Macaca mulatta: one gene and its partners. The protein of the gene in region 2 binds, or shares a complex with, the protein of the main gene of each other region. Links are inferred from orthologs where the notes say so. Each region holds a gene or a part of one and is shown on either strand. Other genes may lie near its edges.

What was found.
Region 1: the proteins of putative trypsin-6 (region 2) and SPINK1 are in contact, whole or in part, in a crystal structure (PDB 7QE9), measured with the Homo sapiens proteins. The link is inferred for Macaca mulatta from reciprocal best matches to the Homo sapiens genes PRSS1 and SPINK1. Residues at the interface, in NP_002760.1 of Homo sapiens: Tyr45, His46, Phe47, Cys48, His63, Cys64, Lys66, Arg101, Lys102, Thr103, Leu104, Tyr154, Tyr175, Lys178, Asp194, Ser195, Cys196, Gln197, Gly198, Asp199, Val214, Ser215, Trp216, Gly217, Asp218, Gly219, Gly227; in NP_001341895.1 of Homo sapiens: Tyr33, Glu35, Leu36, Asn37, Gly38, Cys39, Thr40, Lys41, Ile42, Tyr43, Asp44, Pro45, Pro55, Asn56, Val59, Phe62.
Region 3: the proteins of putative trypsin-6 (region 2) and TMPRSS15 are in contact, whole or in part, in a cryo-EM structure (PDB 8ZIV), measured with the Homo sapiens proteins. The link is inferred for Macaca mulatta from reciprocal best matches to the Homo sapiens genes PRSS1 and TMPRSS15. Residues at the interface, in NP_002760.1 of Homo sapiens: Phe18, Asp19, Asp20, Asp22, Lys23, Ile24, Val25, Tyr45, His46, Phe47, Cys48, His63, Cys64, Tyr65, Lys66, Arg68, Ala91, Lys92, Arg95, His96, Arg101, Lys102, Leu104, Asn146, Tyr175, Phe188, Leu189, Glu190, Gly191, Gly192; in NP_001414986.1 of Homo sapiens: Tyr276, Thr277, Ile279, Trp297, Glu298, Leu316, Glu318, Asp320, Glu321, Ile369, Gln370, Ser372, Phe374, Pro376, Phe377, Ala389, Gly399, Pro400, Gly401, Gly402, Arg403, Glu405, Glu432, Asn433, Lys485, Ile486, Leu487, Val513, Pro514, Thr515.

The regions. Positions count from the first base shown.
Region 1 is NC_133411.1:156,707,432-156,714,993, reverse strand, and holds the start of SPINK1 (serine protease inhibitor Kazal-type 1), read left to right. Parts: upstream 1-2,912; 5' UTR 2,913-3,136; coding exon 3,137-3,191; intron 3,192-4,904; coding exon 4,905-4,936; intron 4,937-6,421; coding exon 6,422-6,528; intron 6,529-7,562. UniProt on the Homo sapiens protein: Serine protease inhibitor which exhibits anti-trypsin activity. In the pancreas, protects against trypsin-catalyzed premature activation of zymogens.
Region 2 is NC_133408.1:182,661,821-182,669,271, reverse strand, and holds putative trypsin-6, read right to left. Parts: upstream 3,921-7,451; 5' UTR 3,802-3,920; coding exon 3,762-3,801; intron 2,737-3,761; coding exon 2,577-2,736; intron 1,525-2,576; coding exon 1,268-1,524; intron 867-1,267; coding exon 730-866; intron 434-729; coding exon 281-433; 3' UTR 226-280; downstream 1-225. UniProt on the Homo sapiens protein: Has activity against the synthetic substrates Boc-Phe-Ser-Arg-Mec, Boc-Leu-Thr-Arg-Mec, Boc-Gln-Ala-Arg-Mec and Boc-Val-Pro-Arg-Mec. The single-chain form is more active than the two-chain form against all of these substrates.
Region 3 is NC_133408.1:29,314,820-29,321,608, reverse strand, and holds part of TMPRSS15 (enteropeptidase), read right to left. Parts: intron 1,995-6,789; coding exon 1,864-1,994; intron 1,601-1,863; coding exon 1,533-1,600; intron 1-1,532. UniProt on the Homo sapiens protein: Responsible for initiating activation of pancreatic proteolytic proenzymes (trypsin, chymotrypsin and carboxypeptidase A).

The DNA of each region.
Region 1 (7,562 bases), on a different chromosome or scaffold from region 2:
CTAAAGTTATTACTGTTGCTATTATTATCTAATGAGTTTATGTGACCAGATTCCAGCCAACTCCCTTCTCCCCACACTGCTTGTGAGACCCAAGGGAAAAAAATCCTTTTCTCACATATGAACCCTCCTTAACAGTGGTTATTGGAAGTTTCTTACTCGCCACAAAACTACTATTTAAATAATGATTTGAGATGAAAAGAACAAATATATTTTCATCCCAAATCAAATCAAATATGATTCAACCAATATCTATCAATGCTAAGACTAAACTCCATGAGGGCAGACATCATATCCATTTCCCCAGCACTCAGCCAAAAGTTTTTGTATAGTAAGGACTTGATGGATATTTGAATATACTAATAGTTGAAGGAATAAAAGGCCTGATGATGAGCCAATGAATGGCTACTCAACTGGAGGCACTGGAGACACAGAAATGAACAAGGCATAAACCTTGGTCTTCAGAAGTATATACATTTATCTCTTAATTTATGTTTTTAGGAAATATTTATTTAGTGTCTACTATTTTCCAGACACTTTATTAAGTGCTACAATAAATAAAGCAGCTGTATTTGCTCTCTAAAAATAAAGAGATATTACATAATAATCATACAAATAGCTGTAGAGTTGGAATTATTTTAAGTGCAATGAAGGGTTTTATGAAATCATACAATAGGAGGCATTAATCTAGATGCAGAAAGAAGTAAAGGAAGACCCAGAAAGAATGGCTTAATGAGAAAATACCTACCACTTAACCTTTTAACCTTAGAGGGTGCAAAGCTGTTTTGTTTTGTTTTCTTGGCCCTAGCAAAGGGTAACAGAGAAATGACCAAAGTAGCAAGGAAATAACCGGATTGAGCAAGGAAGAACCTCTTGGGGAATAAAGATAGAAAGGAGCCAAGTCATGCAGAACCTAAATTCTTCCTGAGCATTCTGAACAATGAGAAACTGGACAGAGACATTATCAAATTTGCAGTCCATAAACATCCCTTGACTGTTCCATGGGCAGCAACTTTAAGGAAGAAATAACAACAAATATTGAGAAACTCTTTGCAGGAAATGCAGAAACCCAGGGGGGAAATGATGGCGTTGTCTTAGATATGACAGTGGAAGCTAATGAGAAGTGTCCGGGGTTGAGGTTATTTTGAACACGAATCCAAGAAGAGAACTTAGTAGCAAATTAAGTGTGGAAGATGATGCATAGAAAGGGGAAAGGGAAATATCAGGGAGAACAATGAGGTTTGGGCTTGAGTGATCTACTGGAAAGAAAAGAAGCTGTAGGGAGAATAGAGACAAAAATACTGTGGTGAAAGATCAAAATAGTAGTATGGGACATATTAGATTTGAAGTAGCTGTAAAACATCCAAATAGTGATGTCAAGAACTAAACACTTCCAAAGCTTCCCTTTGATAAAAACCAAAGTCCTTACTCTAGCCTACACTAGATCTAGACCCTCACTGCTTCCTTTATTTCATCTCCCATTCTGCCCTCTATCACTTTGCTGGAAGCCAGACTGTCCTCCTGGATGTTTCTCAAACATGTCAAACCAACGTCAGCCTCACAGCCTTTGCACTTACTATTCTCTCTGTCTGGAATGCACATCCTTGGAATAATTACATAGTTCAAATCCTCATTTCCTTCATGTCTCTGTTTGATATCACCTGAAAAGCAAGACTTCTTCTGATTATGCTATAATACATATCTCCTTAACCCTCCAGCACCCTTATCCTTCCTATCCATTTCTCCATAATAGATATCTGATATATTTTATAATCATTTATTATTTTTTGTCACCTGCCTCCCTCAACAAAAATGCAATGGAAGCTCCATGAAGACAGAGATTGTTATTTTTATTTACTGATCTGTCTCGAGAGATAAATACAGTTCTTGTCATGACTTGGAAAGGGTTTGAGATTTTATCTTACTTGGAAGCTAAGAAGTTAACCTGCCACATTATAATGGTTTCTGGCAGAAGGCACAGACTCCTGGCTCAGAGATAAGGGACTTAATTATTCCATAGCAACAGCCAGAGTGTTGGAATTTGTTCTGGTTTCCCAAGCCCCAATTTCCACAGGCCAATGTAAGGCACATCAAGTGATACTTGCAGCGAAAGTACAATGTGTTAAAGGAAAGCAAGGCCAAGCTTTTAAAAACCCGAAATCTTTTAAATAGGGCAATTAACATGATCTTTGCCCTAGAAGGAGATATTAACTTTATTACACTAAACAGTAAACAAACCTGACTTTTGATGCAGAGGGAGACATTACATATTTGCTAAGGTCATTTGCTATACAAACACCCTTAAAAAGATAGTCTGAAACAAAGGTTATCGGTACCTCTACTCATAAGACATGCAGAAACATGAGAGAGGATGGAGAATTCTCTTCCAACAACACATGGTAGATAACCAGCACATATTCTCAAATGAAAGAGTAACCCTTTGAGTTAGATGTTATTATTATTTTAATTTCCAGATGAATACACAGAAGCACAGCAAAAGTGACTCCAACAAGCACCCTCTACTCTAGAATACACGCTTTAGGGAACTGAGTCCTCTCTCTCTCTCTCTTGCTCTCTCTTTCCCTCTCATCTGCCACTCCATCAGCTACTCTAAGCTTTGTGAATGGGTGATAGAAAAATAGAGAAAAGAGAAAGAAGAATAAGAAATGAAGAGTGGAGGAAAGGAAGAAAGAATGGAGAGGTTTTATCCTACTTGGAATAAAATTCTTTCTAGTCGCTATCCATACCTGCTCATCTATCCAGACCTACAGAGTAGAAGGGATCTTTGGGTTTACCTTACAGGGGAGAAAACAGGCTTCAGAAGGGTATGACTTTCCCCCAACCATAGAGAGAGCGGGATCAAACTAACCACTAGAACTATTTTCCTGACAGAATGTTTGCCTTGCATGTTTCAGGCCCACCTGGCTCCTTTCACCTTTCTTACGCAGGTGACATTCCCAGAACCTGGAGGCCAGGCTACAACACAGAGTCAATCAATAACCAGGGAGATCTATGATATAGCCCAGTAGGTGGGGCCTTGCTGTCGTCTGCCATATGACCCTTCCAGTCCCAGGCTTCTGAAGAGACGTGGTAAGTGCAGTGCAGTTTTCAACTGACCTCTGGACGCAGAATTTCAGCCATGAAGGTAACAGGCATCTTTCTTCTCAGTGCCTTGGCCCTGTTGAGTCTATCTGGTAAGTGTTTTTGCATATTTTTCAAATTTAAATAAAATCATTTTGACCTGTTGCTTTGTGGAGCACATTATCTTCTAGACTTTTGATGTAGTCTAGTCTTCGAGAGATCTTTTGGACCTAGTGAGATGAAATAGAATCCACAGATAAGAATTATTTTTTAAGAGGGATTTTTAACTTACTACAAGGAAAACAATTCTGCTAGTAAGAACTGCCTAGAGATAAAATGGTTTTCCTCTATTGATGTGGCTGACACTTTGTTGGAATACGGTAGAGAAAAAAGGGTAAAAATATTTCAATTTTAACTATACTTCTAATTTTGTAAATGTGTAAGGCCAAATTACAATAATATATGTGATATAAAGGGGAGTTTTTATTTTCAGTTTCTGGTATTTCTTATTAGTATCTGGAAATACAAAAATTGCATTTTGTGTATTTACATTACACGTTTTGAATGTTTTGAAAGAAAACATTCTGCTTGAATAGATGGTGCACATATACCCCCAACTGCATCTTGACAATGTTAACAGACAACTCTGAACCCTCAGAGCCAAGATCAGTTTCCTTTTTATCATTGGAAATAGTTAACATTTTCAACTTCACCTCTCATGTAGCGACGGATCCTGTGGAGAGCCAAATCAGCACTTTGCTAAGAAGAGGAAGAATATTGTTTGTTGTATTCGCCGAATACTTATGGCAGCTGTCAGTGTTCCCTTTCCCCCTCCTCGTGCATGTTAATTAATACAAATAGATGCTTGTGATGAGCACCTGTTCATCAGTTTTTAGATTCAACTAGATTCTAAAAGCCAGTGGGCCCCCAACAACATCAAGTTCTGACTATCCTGGGGGAAATTCTCCAAGCTCTTAGATGCCTCGCTAATTTTCATTACATTTAGATACAAAGAACTACCTCTTTACCCAGATCACCTCAAAGATTGATGATATTAAAAATTAATTTTCACAAATATTTCCTTATTTGGATGCTATCAGATTAATCCCTTTCGCTTCCATGAACTCATCCACAGTTATCATTTTCTACATGTTGTCAGCAAAACCTATGCTATCTTCCGGGGAACGGAGATTAGCTATTTTGACTACCTGTAAATTCAATAAATGTGAGTTGGACCCATAGTCCATATGATGCAATTGTTGGAAATAGCTTTTTGGGAACTGATAGTGAGTTGGCAAAAGAGCTCTATTTTTTCAACATTACTTACAAAAGAGAATTTAAGTGTAATTGAAAAAGCTAATTTTGCATCAGAAGGCCTGGTTACTGCTTGTGATAACTGTTTCACAGCTTTTCATCTGTAAACAGATAGAAAGTATACTTCACTAATTGTGAGATTAAAGATCTAGTAACTGGTTTTGAGAATGTTTGTGAGGATTCAAAAGATAATTTGCTCAGTGCCTGATACATTTCCAGCAGTAAGTACATAATTTCTATTTTCAAGGAAATAGATCAACTTCCTAAAACATCAAATTGAGATACTTTGGTCATAATCAAAGTTTTACTTAATCTTTTTAAGGTTTTGCCAGGGAGGGGGTGCAGGAAAATCAGTCAGATACTTTTGGAGGATTATAGAAATCAGAAAGGGTAGGGAATGAAAGAGCCTAGTAAAGAAGTCATGGTCTGCAGTGAAAGCAGAGAATTCTGAGGAAGAATAGATCTGACTTCTCTCGTTTAGGACCCAACTTACCATATCTGATTATTTCCAGGTAACACTGGAGCTGACTCCCTGGGAAGAGAGGTAAAGAGATATTTGTAATTTCTTATTTCTCAGGCTGGAACAGTTTGATCCAACAAAAATGCAGCCTTGCTGTCACCTTTCAGTTGAGCCTGAAGTTAAGAGGAGTATGAATGCTAGGGAGGGTTAATGTGTGAAATGCAAACGGTAATAGTAGTTCCACCCCACAGGCATATATTGAAGGACAATTTCACTGATGTATAAGCAAGTTCTATATAGTCCTACAGTGCTTGCTGTGAAGGGGTTTTTATATAAACTAGTGATAGCTGTAAACAAGTATTTGGGGTGGAAGCCTTCTCAAGTTCACTCCAAGTAGCCCTTCCTCCTTACAGCCAGTTTGACCATGTTGGCATGCAGCTTCCCCAATGACCAAGGTGTGGCTCTAATTTATAATGAACAACAGAAAACAATAAACTAGGTTCTTCTTCTAGAAAAATATTCTAACTCTAATCTTTTCATATTTTTTTGTTTAAAAGGTAATTTCAGTAAATTTGGAGACCAGAGGAAGAAGTGTCCCTCTTCTCAGTACATTTATATCTAGTCAGAGACAGCTAATAGACCAAAAGTTCATGAATGAACACATGATTACATTTGTGATAAGTGTTATGAAAAAGATATGCTGCCATTAAGAACTTAGCCTAGTTAGAGAGATCAGGGAGGGTGCTCCGAAGTAAGTGAGGGGTCATTTTGAGCCAAAAATAATAATAATAATAATAATAATGAGTGTTAGCAAAGCAAAACTGGTGGGGAGATGTAGTAGAATGAAGTAGTTAAGAGCTAAAGCTCAGGAACTCTGACTAGGTTTGAATTCTGAATTTAGGAATTCCTTAGCTAGGTGTCCTTGGCTAATTTTATTGCTTTGTGCCTCATTATCTTCACCTGAAGAAGAATATAATACTTAGTTCACAGGATAGTTAGGCGGTTTAAACAGAATAATATGTAAAAAGCACTAGGACAGTGTCTAGGACAATGCCAATCATTTGATGATTATAAACTCTTACTAGAGTAGAATGCAAAGACTTCCAACACTGGATGTTGGCTAGTGCCTTTAAGTGCCTAATAGAAGGCCAGTGTGTGTGGACTATAGTGTACAAGGAAGAACATACCTCAAGATGTGGCCAGCCTGAGAGATGCCAGCATCTGCAGTAACTGTAAACTTGAACATTATCTCACCCATCCGTGCAAACCTCACAACAACACTATGAGATAGGTGGGAAATGGTAATATCATCACCATTTTGCAGATGAACTGACTGAGTTTCAGAAGGGCCATAGGACTTACTAATGTCACACAGTTTAGAAATAGCAGAGGCATGACTTAAAACAAGGTTTTCTGTCTCGAGATCTTAGGTTATTTCTCTTACAACACACAGTATCGTTCTCCCAATCACAGTTGTGCCCCAGAGAAATTAAAACCATTTCAGAGATTTTGCTATGAACTCAAGAATGGAGAATAATGGGAAATGATTCTGTTTAATTCCATTTTTAGGCCAAATGTTACAATGAACTTACTGGATGCACCAAGATATATGACCCTGTCTGTGGGACTGATGGAAAAACTTATCCCAATGAATGTGTGCTATGTTTTGAAAATCAGTGAGTACAAACTTGAGTTTCTTTTAAACTATATATTTTAAGATAGTTATCTTCAAATATACTGATAATATGAATCTCACCCTGAGAGAAGCAAACTATTTACTTTTTCCAAAAACAGTTATCTCTTTCTTATTCTCCTTTTTATACATTTAGCATTATAATATTATTTTTAAAAAGTCACTTTTATGATAAAAGTCTACATTTTTACAGCAAAATAGTTGATAGATTGGATTTTTATTAATCTTATACACACAAAATACCTTTAATTAAAAAGAAATATTAGTGGTTGCAATGATTGTGTTTTTTAAAGCTCTCATTTATGCAAATATAAATTGTATAGATTATATAACCAAAAATGTATTTTTACTCATGGATATGAAAGCCAGTTTCAGTAAAGCTTCATTTTCTCAGTATCCATGAGTAAGAGATGGGATACAGAGAAACAGATTCGACACAAATTTCCTATCTCACTCAGCAACTGAAACCTTAGCATGTGTAAAGCATTATGCTAATATTCCTTGTCTTACTGGTGCTTATGACTAAGAAAACGTCATGAGCACATATAGGATGGCTTCTTATAATTTTGGGCAAATGCCAGAAGATGAGGTGTAAATAAAGTGCAACAGGAGTGAAGCAGGGATACATATTTTTTGTTATTAAAAGGGGCCAAGAAAGGATCCATGAAAAGAATAGAATGCCGGCCGGTGCCGTGGCTCACTCCTGTAATCCCAGCACTTCGGGAGGCCAAGGCAGGTAGATCACCTGAGGTCAGGAATTTGAGACCAGCCTGGCCAACATGGTGAAACCCCGTGGTGGTGGGCACCTGTAACCCCAGCTACTCAGGAGGCTGAGGCAGGAGAATCGCTTGAACCTGGGAGGCGGAGGTTGCAGTGAGCTGAGATTGTGCCACTGCACTCCAGCCTGGGTGACAAGAGTGAGACTCCATTAAAAAAAAAAAAAAAAAAAAGGAAAAAAAAAAAAGAATAGAATGCCATTTAAATAGAGCTCTGAATTTTGGCAATATCAAAAGAGCA
Region 2 (7,451 bases):
AGACCACCTTTCCAAACACACGTTTCTCTAGAAAAGAGTACCCCCTTTTCTCCCAAACTTCTTACTATTTTTGGATTCCATGTCCTTGTATGTGCTAATCTAGTGTACCATGCAACACATTTTGGGAGCTGGGGGCTCTGCTTACCTTTAAGGGGGGCACCCCAATCTGACCTGAGATTGGAGGATGCTTTCCAGTGTGAAGGAGTGTGAGGGAGCAGGCACAGACACAGTTAGAACAGGGTCACTTTACTGGTATAGAGACTGCAGCGGGACAGGGGGTTTAGCTGTTGGCAGCTATGGTGTCCTTAATCCAGGCCAAATAGTTGTAGACCTTGGTGTAGACTCCAGGCCTGTTCTTCTGGGCACAGCCATAGCCCCAGGACACAACTCCTTGGAGCTGTCCGTTGTAGACCACAGGTCCACCAGAGTCGCCCTAGGGAGAAGAAGGGACAAGTTGTATGGAGAGATGGAGGAGGAATATAGCTATATTTACTCTGAACCTTAAAAGACCCCTTTCAGGCAGCTCTGTGGCTCCACGTCCTTCTCACAGTGGCCCATTCTCTGTCCCTAAGCAGACAGCATGCAGCCCAAGGGAGCCTTCCTCACTTCTCCATGGGGATACTACAGGGAGCCTCCTCAGCCCCACCACCTTGGGAGTTGAAATCTTTTTCCAAGATGGGGCCTGGGTATCAGTGGGAGCTTCAGAATGGGAAGGGTTGTTCAAATCACCTGGCAGGAATCCTTGCCTCCCTCAAGGAAGCCCACACAGAACATGTTACTGGTAATCTTTCCAGGGTAGGAGGCTTCACACTCAGCCTGGGTCAGCACAGGAGCGTCCAGGCACTTCAGCTCATCTGGGTAGTCGGCTGTGAGGATCAGGAAGAGATCAAAGAAAGTAGAAATGTGGGTTAGGCCAGAGAAGGAGACAATAATCTAGGTTGGAACATTGAAGAGGAACACTGCCCCTGGAGAGGGCTCCAAAACATAAGTCCTGACAAGGGACTCTGGCTTTTAGTTCCCAGAATGATCATTGTTGAACCCCTCCCAAAATGTGATCAGGGCAAGTTCTCCATTTGTCCTGTCTTTTGAATTAGGAGCCAAGTCCTTAGACTTTGCATCTCTCTCATGTTCAGTCCAGAGCCTGTGTATAATGGGCACTGGAAATGTGTCTTAAGCCTGGGGGCGAGAGGATTCAAGTTAAGGGATATGCTTCATTCTGGAAATTGGGAGGATGGAGGGAAGTAGAAAGACAAAGGGTCCCACTCACCGCCAGAGCTCAGAGTGTTGCCCCAGCCAGAGATGAGGCACACAGTGCCAGGAGCTGGAGGGGCAGTGGGCAGAGAGATGGTGGACACACGGGCATTGATGACAGCAGGTGTGGAAAGCTTGATCAGCATGATGTCATTGTTATATTTCTTAACCTCGTTGTATTTGGGGTGCGGGATGATCTTGGCTGCATTGATGAATTGCTCAGTCCCCTCCAGGACTTCGATGTTATGCTCTCCCAGTCTCACCTGGATGCGGCTGATGGGCAGGGCAGGCGTGGTGAAGACCTTCCTCCACTGCTGGGGTACCCATCCCACCATCCCCAGGGTCCTTAAGCTCCCTGCTCATGGACAGCTCTGGAGCCATGGGGTGGAGTATGTGGTCATATCACATGGGCAGGAGAGGGATGTGGGTCAGTGCAGGTGTGAGACCCAGGACCTTTCTGCTTCAGAGGTCGTTAGTGGGGTGCGGAAGAGTCAAAGGGATGCACCAGAGGCTGCTCCTCATCCCGCCTTCCCAGCCTCTTTCCCACAATTTCCACAGTCACCAGCACTGTGGGCACAAAGAGCTCCTTGTAGTTTTCCCAGCGTTCTTCACCCCAGGCCTTTGCTAACTGTGCACAGTGCCTGTTCCTCCCTCCCTTCTTGGCCTGGTGAGCACCACCCTTCTGTGTAATCTAATCCAAGGGTAGCCACAGCATTAGCATCTCCTGGAAACTTGTTAGAAATGTAAATTCTTGGGCCTTACTCCCACCTACTGATCAGAACCTTGGGGATGGGACCCAGTGATTTGTGCCTTAACAAGCCTGCAGGTGGTTCTGATGCCTACTCAGGTTTGAGAGTTCTTGGCGGAGGCGGCAGTTCTCAGCTCTGTCTATAGATTCTATAGTTACCAGAGGTAGAGTGTGAAATACTCACTGATATTCACACCCTCTTCCTGAAAATTTTGAGTTAATTGCCCTGAGATAGGACACAGGCATCAGTATTTTTAAAAACTCTTTCCTAGGTGGCTTTATTGTGTAGCTAACCAGCAAAAGTACTTGCCTGCTTTTCTCACAAGCTCAGTCCATCCAAGATCATCCCTGCCTGCTTTTATGACCACAACCCTTGCTGTTTCATGGATTTGCCTGGGTGTGAGAGGTTCCTGTCTTGTGTTCACTCTCTGCTCTGAAGAGTCAGCTACTGCCAACAGGTTTTCTTTTTCACTACCTCTCCCGTCCATCTTACCCACCTCAGTGATTCCGTGGGCTAAAGCCAAGCTCGCCCAGGCAACCTGGCTGGGAGCTTTGCAGTCAGGGACCCCACACTTACGGCTTGTAGCAGTGAGCTGCTGACACCACCCACTGTTTGTTAATGAGGGAGCCACCACAGAAGTGGTAGCCATAATTCAGGGACACCTGGTAGGGGACAGAATTCTCCTCACAGGTGTAGCCTCCAACGATCTTGTCATCATCGTCAAAGGGGGCAGCAACTGGAGTGGAGATGGGAAGGGAGAAGGCAAGTCAGTTGCATGTTAGGGGTGGTGCTCCCAGCCTGCAGTTGCTTTCTGCTAATTAGAAATCCTTAAGAAGCTCAGTGAGGCTAGGCAAGGGAGGGAGCGCTGGCACCCCTGGTGAGCATCACTGGATGTGGCTCCCAAGTCTCTGTGTCTGCAGGGTGCATAGCTAGGTACCCTGCAGGTGTTCAGATCTCTCCTGGGGTCACCAGGCTGAGGATGCAAGGAATGTCCTCACAATGCTTCCAGTGGGATAGGAGTTGGGATGTGTCTGTCTCACCCACTGAATGCTTCTCTCTTTTATTCACCACCTGTGTACTCCACCTGGCTGTTTAAGCCCTGGATGGTCAGGATACTTTGGCCAAGCTAGGAAAACCGCTGGCTGTGTAGACCTGGCCATGACCAGCTTCCCCCACAGCCCAGATCTGTGTAGTGAAGGCAGAATTGAGGGATGCCCCGGGCTCACTTCGGCAGAACAAAGGTAGACGTTATTATTGTCCAAAAGAACAGCAATTCTTAACCTTGGCTGCATGTCTAGAAATGTTAAAAATCACCTGGGAAGCTTAAAAGCCCAGAACACAGGCTGCACCCCAGACAAATGAAGTGAGAATTTCTAGAGTTGAGTCTCTGGCATGAGTAATTTTTCCACCTCCCCAGGTGCATTTGAGGTTAACAGCAGCTATAGTGGAGGTATTCTGGTGCTGTGGGAGCCAAGCCTGAAGCCTGCTGCTTTATTTCGTGGGCCCACCCCACCTGGTCTCCCTTCCCAGCATCTCCAACCACAGCTCGTATATGGATGAATTGTAGTGGTGGGAGTGAAATCAGGGAGAAGGTGAAAGAGGTGAGGCTTAAAGAGAGCCCAGGGAGGATGGGAAGTAAAGATGCCAGATGGAGGAAATAGAATATCAGAGCACAGTCAAAAGAGGAGAGGTGGCAAGAATGGAAGGGCATGTGTCTGCCAGGAGGGGTGGTTGGGGCCTGAGGCAGGGCATGAAACTCACCAGCCGCTCCCACAAAGGCAAGGATCAGGAGTGGATTCATGGTGGTAGAGTGTCCCTGACTGGTGGTGGAGGACCAGTCTTTATACCTCCCGAGGATTGGGAGAGGAAGTGTCTGTGAGGTGAGGGTCACTGCTCCTCGCAGGACCAACAAACCTGCAGCTTTCCCCTTCCCAGGGTCTTGCATCAGCTCAGCTATGTTTGGCCACTCTGTGGGTTTGTGATTCACAGGTGATAAGGGAACTTGCCTTCAGAGAGCAGAGAGGGAGACTGGCTGTTTCCTGCAAGGATTCTGGGATGGGGAAGACAGGGAAAATCAAGCCCCCAATCACACAGCTGTGATTTCTCAGGCCGAGGAGGTGAGGGTTAGAAGGAGGGAGAATGGCCTGGCTGTTAGGAATCGTTTAAACTATTGGGGATGTATTTAATGTACTTAAGGAAGGGCAAGCGTTGGTAACAAGCTTTGCTTTTCAGTGTCCTGAAGCCCCCATGAGAGGAGCAAAGTCGTATCTAAGGCTCGTTTCTGTGAATATGAAGATGCATCTCTCCAGTCAGCATGTGGCACGGTTAAATCTAAGGCTTTGGGGAATAAGAATTCCAAAACTAAGGGGTAAGGAGAAGGGGGACTCAGCATCCCATAGGATTCTGGGCTTCCAGATGGCTCTCCTTCCTATGAAGGCTTAAGGATGGGAAGTGTTTCAAAGAAGGAAGGGCACAGTTTAGGTAGGAACTTACTCAGTGCCTCTGGAGCATGGAAGATCAATGGTGTACTCCTCCCCTTCTTCAATGTGAAGACATTTGTCTGTCTCATATGTACCCTGTCATAGGTATTTTTTATGCAGCCTCACAGTGCCCTGGCAATTGGCACTCAGGGTGATGCAAACTGACCCACCTGCTCAGGACTGACAACCTGAACCAGAATAACATGCCCCCGATCAGATGTCAGAGTTTGGACCATGGTAAATCTGGGATCTGATCTGATCTGAGAATCAGCAGAGGTGGAGATTTTAGCACATGGTAAATGGGTCACATATTGGGTTCAATAACGAAGATGTGGAGGGGTGGGTCTAGAATTTTCTATTTTCGATGCAGTGAGATTATGCTGTGCTCAGTACAAAGTGAATCTTCCCAGAGAATATCCTGATTTGGGCCCTACCAATGCTACTAAGACACAGTTGTGTAATTGATTGAGGCATAACCTGGCCAGAGCAGTGTGGAGATGGAGATGCTGTCTGTACTCAGGTCTAGTGATGTAAAGAAAGGAGGAGCTTGCTTATGAGGGTGCTTTCCCTTCTCAGCAACTCTGAGTTTGGCTGGTGATGGGCAGGAGTGAGCAGAGTTCAAGTTCGAATTCTTTGAAAGGTAAAAGAAGCAGCAGTGTTCTGAAGACGATGAACAAAATCAGAAAAGCTCAGAAACTTGGTGGTGAAATTTGACATGACCAGGCGCTAGAGGGAGGAAGCAAATGGAAACCAGAGGGAATCAGAAAAATTGCCAAAGTGGGGCCCGTGGAGTTGAGAGGGCACACAGAGTACCTTCGGGTTCAACTCCCGGCATGGCCACCGATCCAGCTTCCCGACAGCCAGGAGACCCACTGCTCTGAGACACCCTCTTCACCCCGTACCCTGTCTAATCACTGTTGGGCTCAAACCTAACGCTGCTGTACTTGGATGGTGTATGGTGTCTGACAGCTTTACACGTTTTTAAATAAGCAAGAGTGGTGCATAGCTTTTCGTTTATGCTGAGGTTCACAGTTTAACTTCCCACAAACATGCTAATTGTGATTTGTGTGGAACAAAATTATTTCCATTTATAGAGGAAGACAATGAGATTCAGAGGGATTCGGTCTTTCCCAAGAATACAGATCTTGGCAGAGCTGACCATAAGGCCAACGGAAGCCATGGAGAGCGTTGTGAAGTATGGGAATTGCTGCAGGTGGCATCTAAAAGGAGATTCATTGGGGATCAAGACATAGGTCCCCAGAGGACAAACGGTACATTTGATTCCTTCCTGGTCTTTTCTTCCTGGCAGAAATAGATGATTGAATTGATCTTTCTCCTGGCACTTTGTCTTACAGCCTTATCTTGCCACCGTTCCAGACCCATCTAGGCCATGACTTCCATGTAGATGACACACTTCTCTGCTCACACATAACTGGCCAAGTCTGAGGTATCCAGGTTTTGGAGCATTGATAATATGGGTTTTTCCTGTGTTGTCCCTAAACATGTTTCATTTTGTCCCCTTGTCATGGGGTCTTCACAGAACTCCTGCCTTGGAGGATAAGGAGAGACTCTTGCTGTAGCAACTGTAGACACCAGTGTGCACTAAACAGGGAGGTGAACCTTGGTAGAAGATGGAAAATGTGTTTGGAAAAGGGGATTTTTGGATCAGTGCTTGTGGCTCTCACTCTCTGTCTGAAAGGCAACACCCCAGAATATGAGGATTTCTGTATCTAGTGCTTGAAGACTAGACTTCTCCAGTATTTTACACTCTTCCTTAAATGATCACAGTATAGTCTGAGGTCAGCTTTGTTCAAAAATGAATGACCTTATAGGCAGAGAACATAGCTATAGGTGGAGACTGTTACCTCATACCGTAGACTCGCATGTGTAGGACAGGTTCAGATTCAGCTGCCCGAGCTCAATTTGGAGGACATGCCATTCTTGCTACTGTTCATTCTGAGCTACAGTTTTCTTTGTCTGCTTCTCTAAGACATCTTTCTGGCTTGTATTTAGTGCTTAGCACACCAAACCACTGTCCTTCAATTATGATAACAGTGAATCATTTTTGTGAGCTTACTATATAGCATGTAACTTAATATACAGCATGTAACTCACTATACAGCATGTAACTCATACAAGTTAAGAATGTGTTTTTCATTTTATCCTCACAACCAACTATGGGATTCCCCATTTTACAGATGATCAAATGAGCTTTCTGGAGGTGACGTGACTCTCCCATCTCCCAGAGCAGCCTCTCCCAGCCAGAGCTGACCCTGCCTTCACCTAAGATCTTGACAAAGCAGCCAGAGCTGGAAAGAACCAAAAGGGAAGCTTTCAATGACTTTTAGCCACTTTGTCCCCCTTTTTTTCTCTCCTCCTCTCCCGCATTTTTCTCCATCTCCAGGTACAGTTCGGGATGTGGATGCCTGTCCCACACAAAAACACTTGGGATTCATTCCTGATACCCCTATTCATCCCGATTTTCCCCCATTTAAAGTCAGATCTCACCTACCTGTTTGGTCAGAGAGATGTGTTTTAAAATCTCCAAGGAAGGAGGCAGGGATTGTGCCCTCAGAGGATTATTGGTGAAGGGAATTTATGCTTAATTTCAGTCTAAGAAAATGTTGCTGTGTCTCTGCCTAGGACAGGCAGCCCATTGTGGCCCTGGGTGATGAGGGAAGCCCACAGAGGCCCAGGATTTGTCACCTGTGGCTGCCAGTGTCTGCAGAGCCAGAATTGAGCTAATCCCGTGAAAGGATGGGCGCTGATGGGCAGGTGTAAGGTCAGTTGCTATGGGGCTTGTTGATCTCTCAAATTCCAGGTGACAAGATCACTGCATGCTTGAGGGGCCCCTTCCTAGCAGGCTCTGGTGGCTACAAACTGGTTCAGGTGTGGAAGATGATACCACTTTACCTTTGGTTTTTCTTTGAAAAACAAGAAAGACAGATGAAAACAAGCATTCTGCCAGTGG
Region 3 (6,789 bases), about 150 Mb from region 2:
CTGCTACTCCAACATTCTCATTTGGAAGGAGAGCATATGCTGAATCAGTACAACAAAACCCCATTCAAATACATTCCCCAGCACCTACTGTGTGATTTGAGGCAAGTTAGTTTTTTTCCAAGCCTCGGTGTCATTATTTATTTAAGTTGGAATAATTGTTTCTCCCTCACAGTCATTTGGTGAGGAATGAAGAAGAAAATACATTTTACGGCCGGGCGCTGCAGCTCACACCTGTAATTCCAGCACTTTGGGAGGCCAAGGCGGGTGGATCACGAGGTCAGGAGATCGAGACCATCCTGGCTAACACGGTGAAACCCTGACTCTACTAAAAATATAAAACATTAGCCGGGCGTGGTGGCGGCGCCTGTAGTCCCAGCTACTGGGGAGGCTGAGGCAGGAGAATGGCGGGAACCCGGGAGGCGGAGCTTGCAGTGAGCTGAGATCCCGCCACTGCACTCCAGCCTGGGCGACAGAGCGAAACTCTGTCTAAAAAAAAAAAAAAAATTACTTAAGTCGCCAAAGGCTTGGCCTGAAATAGAGACTCAACCAGTGAGTTTCTTTTTTGTCAGCTTGTCATAGGATCTGCGTTTTCCCCAAGGCTCTGTAATATTGTCTTTCTTTCTGTGCTTTTTAAATGTGAATTATTGTGAAGACTTTGCTCCCTTCCCTTCTTCAGATACCCCTGTTCTTGATCAATATTTAACTTTTTTTTTTCTTGGAATTCTCTCCCTTTGTCTTTTTCATTTTTAACTTAATTTTATAAATTTACATTTTTCTTTCTTTTATAATTTTTTTTAACTTTCCTGTTGGCTTGTATCTCTACTCAAGAAGCCTACTGGTAGTTTGTAGCTTAGAAAACTTTAGGTTCAGAGAGATGTTGGCAAGATTGTCAAACTCTCCTTCATGATACAATAGCAACAACAACACACAGATCAATTTTCTTTGTGAGAAATACAAAAGGTAATTGTCGAGAAAATAGATCTTACAATAGAAATAAGAAAATAGTTCTTACAAAAATTTCCATATATTACAGATTCAAACATTCATAGTGTGGAATTACATCATTACATTATTAATGTAAGATTCATTAGTTTATTGAGCACCAACTTTAAGCAATGTTACACCCTCTGGGTACAAAAGTGAACAAGTATCTTCTCTCTTTGTATTTATAGTATAAATGAAGCAGCGTGATACAATATTATTTTATTAAATGAAGAGCAAGCTTTTTCCAAATGTTTGTAGCAAATCAAACACTATATCTGCATCTGCATACATTTAACCTCAGCCCTCTCCATGTGTCTCTGCAAGATGTTATTGTCAAGAGAAACATATTAACATAAGATCTATTTTCAAAAGTTATTATTATTTGCTACTAAAATGAAAGTTTATGCTATGCCACTTTGCTTAATCCTCAAAAAATGTTGAAAAATTTAAATATTCCTCTTTTCCTATGTATAGTGATGCTATTTTACAAATATTAGCAAAAAGATCCCTAATTTTCTGTCAGTAGAAAATTTTTGAGCTGTACTCACTCAAATTGTAAAACTCTTGAGTTCTTATATTCATTCTTCAGATTGCTTGATAGAAAGATCTCATCTATCTAGAAAAATGTAAAAGGTTGAATGAGTATACTAAATTTAAGATTTTAACTTTTGTTGAAAAATTTATGCAAAGCAATCTTTATGCTCTGCTTAGAATTGGGGGAATTTTCTCCATAGTAATGGGGCTCAGACATTTAAGTATTTTGGGTATATTACATTTATTCTCTAGTTGTTTCACAGTGACAAAATGGTGTTTTTGGCAAGTAGTTAGTTAAACTATGTTATAAAATTTTAAACCAGCTGAAGAGAGACAGTCTCCTACCATTTGCTGAAGGTCAAAAGCAAGAACTTTGAAATCCGCTGAGAGTTTGTCTTGCAAGTTAGGATTATATGTAACTCCGGATGTTATTTTAAATGTCCCTCTGACTTCATGACTTTGTCCAAGTGCTGCACCTAGATAAATTAATAAGGAAAAAAACACTAAGATTTTGGATTATGAGTAGGAAAAATATGCACATTCTGTTAAGACACAGAAGTAAAGCTCTTGCTTGATGTGTTAGCTCTGTAGTTCTTGCTTTTTCTTTGTAGTCTCATGTTTCAAAATCAGCTGCTTTCTGTCCCCAGCTGTCTGATTGTTTTAAAAGATTGGAAACTAAAGTTTTTTTCCATTCTTTCAATATTTTTTTTCTTTTCTTTGAAGTCTAACCCACACTCCAAGCTTCCAAGTTTTCATTATTATTGTTATTGAGATTCCTGTTGGAAGATACACGGACTGATGAACTCCCACCAATTATGGGAAGTGACTCAGGGAAACATGGTGAGAAGTGAACCATTAAAAGTTTTGTAGTTGCTTTCAGATACTTCTTGAACACCTAGCATCCAGGGACACCACTGGGTTTTGACATATGAATTGCTGTGAAGATTTCAGTATTTTGGTTACTTTGAAACATGACTTTGAAGCTACTTCTTTCATTCTAATAATTATAAAAATGTCATGCATGACCTTGTGCCATTAGCTGGTGACTGTCCTTGTTGAAGACGTTATTTAGAATGTGTAGAAAATAGATAACCTCACTAGGAAAAAAAATGTAAAAAAGAAGGTTAACAAATTAAATATAAACATGGATAATAAAATGTGTCATTAAGTCCTGCATAATTCCTTTATCAGCATATTTTCATGGACACTGATTTATGTTTAAAATGAATTGCTTCAACTGAAACTCACACAGTGATGAACTCATTAGTAAATATAATAATAATGACATATAATTCTCACAATAATTTGGTGTGACAAGACATTATTTCTTCTTTTCTGGGATAGGGTAATTGGTGTTTAGAATGATTAAGAAAATTTCTCAAGGTAGTAAATGTCTGAAGCAACAGATCTGGAATTTGGTCATCGAAATGATTGACTCCACAACCCAAGATCTCTATGTAATACATTCACACCAAACTATCCCATTAAGAGGATAATTAGAAATAATAATTCAAGCAGTATGTGTGCATATAGTCTAAATAACGTTAACTGCATTATTGATGTAACGTATTATTTATACTATTTCATTTGTATTTTAAAGACTCTAAATTAGATTGAAGTTTGCATGTTTAAATGCAGAATACAAGGAAGGACCGAGGAACTACAACCGATTAAAGGAGACTAAGGAAGCGTAATAACTAAATCTTACATAGGAATCTGCACTGGATCTTAACCTGGTAAAGGGTATTAGTGGAAAAACTGGTGAAATTTGAATAAAGTATGTGGTTCAGTTAACAATATTGTAGAAATGTTAATTTCTTGACTGTGGTAATTGTACTATGGATAAACAAAATATTAACATCCAAGGCAGCTGGGTTATATGAAAATTCTGTGCAATTTTTTCAACTTTTAAAAGTCTAAAGTGATGTCAAAAAAAGTATAAAAAATGTTAAAAGTAGTATGTGCTTTGAAAGCCCTAAAGACATCTGCAAAAAGGCTCCTGAAACTGATAAATGACTTCAGCAAAGTGTCAGGATACAGAATAAATGTACAATGTCAGTTGTATTTCTAAACACCAATTACATTCAAGCTGAGAACCAAATCAAGAATTTAATACCATTTTCGATAGTCATACAAAAGATAAAATACTTATGAATATCTCTCACCAAGGGTATAAAAGAGACCTGCAAGGAGAACTACGAAACACTGCTATAAAAATCAGATAACACAAACAAATGGAAATACTTCCATGCCAATGGACTGGAAGAATCAATGTTGTTAAAATGGCCATACTGCCCAAAGCAACCTACAGATTCAATGCTATTCCTATTAAACTATCAAACTCATTTTTCATAGAATCATAACAAATGATTCTAAAATTCATATGGAACTATGAAAGAGCCAGAATAGTCAAAGCAATCCTAGGCAAAAAACACAAAGTCAGAGGCATCACATTACACAACTTCATGCTATACGATAAGGCTATAGTAACTAAAACAGCATGGCAGTGGTACAAATACAGACACATAGTCTGCATCACATTACACAACTTCATGCTATACGATAAGGCTATAGTAACTAAAACAGCATGGTAGTGGTACAAATACAGACACATAGTCCAATAGAGCAGAATAGAGAACCCACAGTAAAGTGAAGCTACACACCTACAGTCATCTAATCTTTGACAAAGTTGACAAAAATAAACAATGAGGAAATAGTTAATAAACAGTGCTGGTATATCTGGCTGGCTATATGCAGAAGAATCAAACTGGACCCCTACCTTTCACCATATATAAAAATTAACTCCAGATAAATTAAAGATTTAAATTAAGACCTCAAACTCTAACAATCCTAGAGGAAAAAAAAGTAAAACATAATTCTGGAAATTATCCCTGGCAGACAGTTTAGGACTAAATCCTCAAAAGCAGTTGCAACGAAACCAAAAATTGGCAAGTGGGACCTAATTAAACTAAAGATCTTCTGCACAGCAAAATAAACTATCAGGAAAGTAAATATACAACCTATGGAATGGGAGGAAATACTTGCAAACTATGCATCTGAAAAAGGTCTAATATCCAGAATCTATAAGGAACTTAAATAATTGAACAAACAAAAAACAAACCCATTAAAAAGTGGGCAAAAAACATGAACAAGCACTTCTCAAAAAAGACATACGAGTGGCCAACAGATATTTTTTAAAATACTCATCAGCACTAATCACCAGAGAAGTGTAAATCAAAACCACAATGAGATACCATGTCATACTGGTCACCAATGGCTATTACCAAAGAGTTAAAAAACAAGAGATGTTGGCAAGGCTTTCAGAGAAACAGGAACACTTACACACTGTTGATAGAAATGTAAAGTAGTTCAGTCACTGTGCAAAGCAATTTGGCTATTTCTCAAACAACTTAAAACAGAAATACCATTTGACCCAGCAATCCCATTACTGGGTATATATCCGAAAGAAAATAAGTCATTCTACCCAAGAGACACATGCACTCACATGTTCATCACAGCACTGTTTACAATAGCAAAGTCATGGACTCAACCTAGGTGCCCATCAACGGTGTATTGGATAAAGAAAATGTGGTACATATACATTGTGGAATAAGATGCAGCCATAAAAAAGAATGAACTCATGTCCTTTACAGCAACATGGATGCAGCTAGAGGCCATTATCCTAAGCAAATTAATGCAGGAACAGAAAAAGCAAATACCACCTGTTCTCAAGCATAAGTGGGAGCTAAACAGCAGGAACTCATGGACATAAAGATGGCAACAATAGACACTGGGGACTACCAGAAGTGGAGAGTGGGAAAGGGGAAAGGGTTGACAAACTAACTTCTGGGTACTATGCTCAGTACCTGGGTGATGGCATCGTTCATTCCCCAAACCTCAACACATGCAATATACCCAGGTAACAAATCTGCACATGTGCCCCCTGAATCTAAAATAATAGTTTAAAAAGGAAAAAATAGTAGTATGCGTTATGATCTCTGGTGTGTTGGTAAAGCATTAACTTGCCCTTTTTATATTTAGTTGTTCACTGTTAAATTGTATTATCACCTATACATATTTATTTTCTACTTCCCTTGTAAAATAACTAACCTTCATATGTTTATTGAACATCAGGGATTCCAATGGACTTTCAAATGCTTATAGATCCTTCAAGTTATTCACAGCAATTAAATAAGACCCAAACAGCCATTTTTCTAAAAGTTTAATCAATATGTATTATCTGGTAGTACTTTGTATAATTTTGTAAAATATCCACACTTTTTTTTTCTTTAAAATATAGCCCTTGTGTATGTCTATAGTTTTTAAATAGACCAGGATTATACTAAAATTATTTAATAAAACTATGGCATGTGCATTACATTCTAATTTAAACTTATTTGTTTACTAGAATAAAATAGCTAACCCAACAATTGTGAATTTAATAGGTAAAACTAAAATCACTCACATGTGAAAGATACGGTGGCTCACGTCTATAATCCCAGCACTTTGGGAGGCCGAGGTGGGCAGATCCAAAGTCGAGAGACCGAGACCATCCTGGCCAACAAGGTGAAACCCCACCTCTACTAAAAATACAAAAATTAACTGGGTGTGATGGCATGCACCTGTAGTCCTAGCTACTAGCAAGACTGAGGCAGGAGAATCACTTGAACCTGGGAGGTGGAGATTGCAGTGAACCACTGCACTCCAGCCTGGTGAAAAAGTGAGACTCCATCTCAAAAAAAAAAAAAAAAAAAAGAGAGAGAGAGAGAGAATTTATATGCCCATATGTATGTATATAGTTTATCATTTTAAAAATGTAAAAAATTGTCTAAGAACAAATAAACTGCTAATACATAGATTATTGCTATGCATCCAATTTTTTAAAAAATTTACCCTATAAATGAGTAAGTGGTAAGATGGACTACAAATTCTAGAGCTGGATTGTCTAGTTTGGAATCTTACTTCTGCTACCCACTAATGATGTGAACTTAAGCAAGTTACCTCTAGTCTCTGTCTCAGATTCCTCATCTGTAAAACAAGCATACCAATAACCATTCGTATGTTGTAGCTACACAATACATTTGAAGGTCTTTGAAAAGCTGTTGGTACAAAGTTAGCTCTAAATAAGAGTTATCATTTCTTATATTTTTTCTGTTTATCAAAGTTGCTACTCAGACAGTTTGTGACCTTTTTAAGTCTACATTTATATCCAACTTCTTTTATATTAGTAGAATTAAAATGGTTAGACTGAGAAGTGAATGAAGATAGAAA